Ovis aries: one gene and its partner. The protein of the gene in region 1 binds, or shares a complex with, the protein of each later gene. Links are inferred from orthologs where the notes say so. Each region holds a gene or a part of one and is shown in the gene's direction. Other genes may lie near its edges.

Region 1 (3,500 bases):
CTGTGGCCTGAGTTAAGCCCATTATGTACAGCAAAGCAGTGGTATGAACCAAATCCTCAGTGGGAGTTCTGACTCTGACCTGGAAAGCGATATAGAAAGAACTCTGGATGGATTCCAGATAACGGGGCAACTAAAATCATAGGTTCTCAGGGCTGGAAGAGCGCTCTGAGGTCATCCAGACCAGCTCTCTGATCCTTGAAAGAGGAGATTAGGTCTCGGAGAGGGAAAGTAACTGACCCAAGGTCCTGCAGTGACTCATGAACGCAGCTCGGGTACGAAGCTCTTGTCCTGCCATCCTCCACAGCCAAGGAAAGATAGATTTTGGTTAACTGGAAAATGATCTGGGCAAACCGTGTATTTTCTTGCTGCAGGGGGAAGAGGTGGTACCAGAGACACCATGCGAAATCCTCTACCAGGGCATGCTGTATAGCCTCCCCCAGTACATGGTAAGGAGACAGCCAGGTCCGGGCTGTGAGAGCTTCTCAGCTGCGAGGGAGAGATGACAGAGAGCCCTTTTAAGCTGAGCCCTCTGTCACTTGAGTTTGCTTCCTGAGCCTTCACCCACCGGGTGGTGTTCTCTGACACTTCAGAATTCTGATCTCCCCTTGGGGCTCCTCCCAGAGGAAGGAGGACTTGTCTCTACCTCCAAGTCCTTGTTTGGGAGAGGTAGGGAATGGGGTAGGCTCCATGCAGGATGCACCAGGGGCCTCTCCTGAGTAAGTGCCTTAGTTCCTCCGAGGTGGCTTCCGGTGTCCTAATTGGCCTCAGTCTCCCAGGGGAGGATGCTGATGGTCTGAGGGAGAGGAAGGAAGAGGGTGGGGGAGGGGTGGATCTTGCCTTTCCCTCCGACCTAATCTCTAGGCATTGCCCCCACTCTCTCTGCTCCTTCTCTCATCCTCTTTGGAAAGAGCAGTCTTGATGCAGAACAGTCTGTAAGCACATCTCTTCAGGCTCTTTAGCCTCCCAGGCAGGCCTGTCAGGACTGGGCACCAGTTTGCCCTTCTGGAGGTAGGGAGCTTTGGTTATTGAGTGAAGGACTTGGAGCAAGGATTTCAAACACTTCTCTTAGAGCTGTTGAGTTGTGGAAGGATAGCCTTGTTGAATGGGGTAGATTTCCTCTTTTTCTGCTTCCCAGATTGCTCTGCTTAAGATTCTACTGGCTGCAGCCCCCACCTCCAAGGCTAAGACAGACTCTATCAATATCCTGGCAGACGTCCTGCCTGAGGAGATGCCGTAAGTGCTTCAGTGGGGGCAGCTGGTAATACTCACTCTCTTGTCTGCAGAGTCTCTCTCATCCCTGCCTCACCTTGTTAACACTTACAGGGATTGTCTCCAAGGAGATCTCTCTGCCACCAGTAGCCCCTTTCCACTGCAGTGCTCTCTCTGTGCTCTTTTGAGCCCAGAACTGAGGGTCTGGAGGGCCACATCACTGGCTGCATGTGTATGTGGGTGGACATTGCTAAGAGACAAGCTTGCCAAAGGCGAGAGAGACACAAAGGTATCAGAGGAACTTTTTTCTCCAGACAGACTCACAAGTGGGAACTCTGGAGGTTTCCTAGCACAGCTCAGGTGTCTCAGGTTCTGGCTTACTGGTGTGTATTGTATGTGTCCCCGTAGGCCTCTCTCTAAGGCCACCCTCTGCACTGACTCTTCCTTTCCCTGTTGTAGCATCACTGTTCTCCAAAGCATGAAGCTGGGCATCGATGTGAACAGGCACAAGGAGATCATTGTAAAGAGCATCTCTGCCCTGCTCCTGCTGCTCCTCAAACACTTCAAACTGAACCACATCTACCAGGTGAGCAGCTCAGAGCACTTCTCCACACCCCTCAGGTGTCCTCCAGGTCCTGCCGTCCAAAGGAAGAACACAAGGGCCTTGGAGTCCAGCAGAGCATCGTTCTTTGTCTTACGGAATTCAGATACGTGTTGCACAAGCTTGGGGCACAAGGTGGGGAATTGTCCTAGAAAGTTGCAAATGTCTGTGTCCTTTGAACATTATCCAGGGGTCGTAGGTAGGAATCCCTAGCTTCTTGGGAATATGCCCAGCCAGCTTTGAAGCAATGGAAGACAGGACTCAAGCATGCCACCAAAAGAGGGGGTGGGGAGTGTCGAGCATACTTTTCTGTATGTGAAGCACTGTTCTAACATTTGAGATAGACTCCTATATAAGGCATCCTCTAGCTCGTAAGGGCTTTGAAGTTTTATAAAGGATACAGATGTAAAGTAGGCAATTATGGAGTGATAAGTGCTGTGTTACAGGTAAGCATTGGCTGCCTTGGAAACACCTAATCCAGCCTGAGGTGGAGAAGCTGTGACTCCTAACCTGAGTCCTACAGAAAACTTGTTAGCCAGGGTGCAGGAGTTGTCAGGGAATGATGGCAGGAAGCATTTAAAGCAGAAAAGCTGGTTTGTGAAACTCCTGAGGGGAGAGGGCAAAGTACCTTTGGAAACTAATCAAACGTTTCTGGAGATCTGCATGAGGTAGAGGGAGACGGGGAGCTCTGGTGGTAACGCAAAGCTGGAGAGGGTGGTGGGGAGTAGAAAGCGAAACCTGTGCCAGCGCACGGTTAGGGAGTAATTACACTGTGGCCAGCTCTCCGAGAGGTTCATCTGGGATCTCATCAAAGTCTCTCAACCCTGCGAGGTGGGTCTTACTTTACTCCACTGAGGCTAAAAGAGGTTAAGAACCTGCCATAAGAGCAATGTTTGCCATGCCACGGAGTTTGGACTTGGTGCTGTGGGTGTTGCCAAGACACAGGAGAAGATGAGGGCAGTGAGTGAGTGTTCTCTGCGGTGAGACATGGAGAGGAGGTGGAGCTTCTCACTCTTGCACAGAGGCTCTGCCCCATTCCTCCTGAGAAGTCAGAACCGAGCTTGCTGCTAAAACAGCAGGAGCTCCGTGCAGGGAGGCCCTGCAGAGTCTGTGTCCATGGCAGGTGCATCTGTACAACCTGGATATGTATCCACTTCAGTGCATTCAGAGACATCTTGTAGTGTGTTAGGGTACCCCGAGGACGCACACCTCTACCAGTGTTTGCAGAGCAGCAGCAGGGCTGGGAGGAGTAGGGAGGGATGAGTGAGAAATAGTGTTCCTAGTAGAAAGAGATCTGCCTATGTGTGCTTCTGTCTGCTTCTCTTGGTGGGCAGTATGTGGATCAACAGCCAGACAGGTGGGTGGCTTGATGGGCCTTGCCAGTACATGTCAGTGTGTCCTGACAAGGCTACAGACGTGTCTCAAACTGAAAGATGTTTCCCATCACTTGACAGTAGGTTTGTATTGGCTCCTGCACCTGAGGCTTTGCAAAATACTCTGGGTCAGCTGCCAGGGAGAAGATATTTGAGCAGAAGAGAGAACTGGGCAACACAAGCTGACTCCTCACCTCTAGCCATACACCTTGGGAGAGGGCAGCTAAGTGTGCTGCCATGGCTATTTTTTGGTGATCAGGAATCAGTAAGAGCTAAAGGAATTAAAACACTGCAGTTCTGTGCTTTTTCAACCAGTT
Region 2 (3,500 bases), on another chromosome or scaffold:
TCCTTTTCTGCTTTCGTTCCATAACCTTTCAGTTTCGGGTACTTGAAATCTAATAAGAAGCAAGGTGTTATAATGTAAGAGCTGAAGAAAGCTAAAACGGCAGTGATACCAGACTTGAGGAGGCATAGGCTAACATAACTTGGCCCATCAGGAAGCAAATAGATTGCCATTTGATAGATCATATTTACTATGTAGTACCAGGGTAAAAAGAGAGGAAATTATCAGCATAATGATTAAAATTGGCAGGCGTCCTAAAAGAAACACCGTGTGAGTACAACAATTTTTGAAAATAATAAAATGGGGCAGAATTACAAGGGAAAATCCAAATCTTGAAAACTAACTTTGGTTAACTCAAGACTTTTTATGTTCAATCTTGAAATAGCTAGAAGATTTTAGTGCCCTAGGGAATGTAAGTAACAGAATCAATGCAAGCTCATTAGTGAAACAAGCTCAGGAGATAGTAAAAGGATTAATGGTTTTCTGAAAGCTAGTGAAGGAGATAATATTCTTGCTGCAAAAATAAAGTAGGAAATGAATATCACTGTGTGAGAATATAGTTAAGGGATCATAAAGCTTCAATAAAACCTCCAAAATGAATCCTGGTTTTTTTGTTGTTGTTGTTTTTCCTGACAGCTTGTTAATTTAAATGCAGAGAATCTGAAGGAAAGAAATTGGTGAGATGAGTTACTGTTTGATTTTCAAGTTGAAATATTGCTTAATGAAAAAGAGCTAAAAATCTTCAGTGTTTTTAAACTACTGAAAAAAGTAATTGAAAAACTGTATCTATATGTATATATATACATGTACATATATTTACTCTTTATTTCTATGTTTGTTATTAGTTTGATTGCAAGAGAGTATAAATGAGAAGTAGGAAATGTTAAATACATTATGTTCAGATGGAAGTTTGGATCGTGACTGTAGTAATCTGTGGATGCACAAACTTTCCCCACACATAAGTGAATGGCATCACGACGCTTGCTTTGCAAAGATTTCTGCCCTTATTTGTAAGTTGATCAGTTTAAGGAGGTCCTAAGAGATTCTGAATGGTTAGGTTTTGGCTTTAAAATGTTGATTCAGTTTCTGTATTTCAAAACCATCTTTCTCTTTCTTATAGGCTGAAAAAGAAAATCCAGGACTCACGCAAGACATAATTATGAAAATTTTAGAGAAAAAAAGTGTAGAAGTCAACTTCACAGAATCCCTTCTTCGAATGGCAGCTGATGATGTAGAAGGTAATCAAAAAGTCTTGTTTAGTTTTCTTACAGATGCTGAAAAGCTCCTCCAAATCTTCCTTATTTGATAAAAGTGACTCCTCCCCTCCCTTCCTCTCCCCTTCCCCTTCTCCTCCCTTCCCTCTTACTGTTAGTGTTATTGTTATTATTTTGAAATGAAAATGGGGGGGTGCAGGGAGGAACCCATATAAAATAGACATGTAGTTCTTTTTATTTTTTGTCAGATTGAGTTACTAGAAGTAAAGCATTTGTTTATTTCCCTCCTATTAATTAATACATTTGATGAGTTCTAGTTTAATGAAGAGACAAGCTCCTTGGAATGGTGGTTTTATTCTGTGTTGACTTTATGCAGATACCAGTTTGAAAGTAATGAATTTTCTTCTTTTTAAACTTTGGTATAGCATGTTTGTGGTTTTTTTTTTTTTTTCAAATATAGATTTGTGAGAACAATATTACTAATCATCCTTTTGGCTTCTTTTCACATTTTTGCTTTTTTAAATAATTAGAAATGTATGTGTGCTTGGTCGCTAAGTCATGTCCAACTCTGCAACCCCAGGGACTGTAGCCCACCAGGCTCCTCTGTCCATGGGATTCTCCAGGCAAGAATCCTGGAGTGGGTTGCCATCTCCTTCTCTAGGGGATCTTCCCAACCCAGGGTTCGAACCCATTGTCTGCCGCATTTCCTGCATTATCAGATGGATTCTCTACCACTGAGCCACCTAGGAAGCCCTGGGTTTCACTGAAATTTAGTAGTCATTTTCCCTCTAATTTAGAAAAACATAGAGGTATAATTTCTCATGTTTATTAAGCGAGAACAAAAATAGATGTTTTAACTGATTCTGTAAATTATGAGAAAGGCCTCATTATTATTCTGGATTGAGCACCTGCAGCCTGTCAGGCCAGGTTGTATTGATGAGTTGGTAGAGCTGTAATGTTTCCGAGTCTACAGTGGATCTGGTTGTGAAATTTTGCCTTTGCTGCATCTGACTAAACTTCCTTACCAAAGTTGCTGTTTTGTGATGCCAAGCTGTATGTTGGACTTTGTATGGTGGTATTTTTGTTTTAAGTGAGATTTCAAGAATGTGCTGAAGACTAGTAGGTTTGGAGTTTTGATGTAAGGAGCCATTGTATGTTGAATGTAGAGATTTCTTTAATTAAACTCATATTCACAATTGTCAGATACATATTGCCATTGTATTTGTTACAAATGTCATTACTTATTGTTTCCTTGTGAAATGTAACTTGAGAGGCCTGAAAAATTTGATTGGGCCTTCCTTTTAAATTTTATTTATTTCTAAGATTTCATGGAATTTCCATTTATCCCATATTGAAGATGTTCATTTTTTTATCTTCTGATATTTTACTTGGAGGGAGCCCTAATACAATTACTGAACTAAGTTAAACTGTAATGAATTCTGCTTTGCAACCTCGTTCTTCCTAGTTTTCTAGCCTTTTATCTCCCACTCACCTCCTTGACCAACACATTGGAAATTCTTAGACTTGAATTTGGCAGCAAGTTGCATGATGTTTTTTTACTATGTATTTATTTCATCAGAGTATATGATTGAACGACCGGAGCCAGAATTCCAGGACCTAAATGAAAAGGCACGAGCACTTAAACAAATTCTCAGTAAGATCCCAGATGAGATCAACGACAGAGTGAGGTTTCTGCAGACAATCAAGTAAGCAGCTTTTTGTTTGGTTCTTCTTCTTTTTTAAGAACTTCAAAAAGACCACTCATTTTAGATGTTTTACTGTGGTATGACAGTAATATTAAGTTGAAATATTAATTTGAAATAAAAATTTGAAAATTACTGTATTTTTTATTAATTTCTAAACAGCCTCTGGCTTCTGAGTCCAGTAAAATATTTTAGACTGTTTCATTTAAAAGCAGAGAATGGAATGTACATGAACTGGAATGCAGTTTGAACCTCATAAGAAGTGGAAGAATGTAAATGTCACATTAAAGTGAAGAGGGTAGTTGAAGAGACTGATAACAAAGGATACCAATGCTGTGTTTTATTTCAGGAATAGTTCATGTTACTAGCATAATGATGTACTCTTAGTTGTAAACAGCACTTCTTAATACTGACCAAGTTGTGAACCTCCCAGAATCCTTGCATTTGGGATGTAGAATGAAAGAGTTTGAGCTGACACAGTTCAGTTCAGCCAGGAACCAGGCTGATGGACAGCAGCAAGAAGGGTTCTTCTCAAACAGGGACACAGCACCTCTACCCAGGGGCGTTCTCAGGGGTGAGAGGGTGG

The links. The genes of interacting proteins can lie anywhere in the genome.
Region 2: STRIP2 (region 1) and PDCD10 share a complex: the UniProt entries of both Homo sapiens proteins name them as parts of the core of STRIPAK complex. The link is inferred for Ovis aries from reciprocal best matches to the Homo sapiens genes STRIP2 and PDCD10.

Annotation. Positions count from the first base shown.
Region 1 is NC_056057.1:95,051,012-95,054,511, forward strand, and holds part of STRIP2 (striatin-interacting protein 2), read left to right. Parts: intron 1-371; coding exon 372-446; intron 447-1,135; coding exon 1,136-1,233; intron 1,234-1,668; coding exon 1,669-1,945; intron 1,946-3,500. UniProt on the Homo sapiens protein: Plays a role in the regulation of cell morphology and cytoskeletal organization. Required in the control of cell shape. Calmodulin-binding scaffolding protein which is the center of the striatin-interacting phosphatase and kinase (STRIPAK) complexes.
Region 2 is NC_056054.1:220,413,142-220,416,641, forward strand, and holds part of PDCD10 (programmed cell death protein 10), read left to right. Parts: intron 1-1,117; coding exon 1,118-1,235; intron 1,236-2,790; coding exon 2,791-2,917; intron 2,918-3,500. UniProt on the Homo sapiens protein: Promotes cell proliferation. Modulates apoptotic pathways. Increases mitogen-activated protein kinase activity and STK26 activity. Important for cell migration, and for normal structure and assembly of the Golgi complex.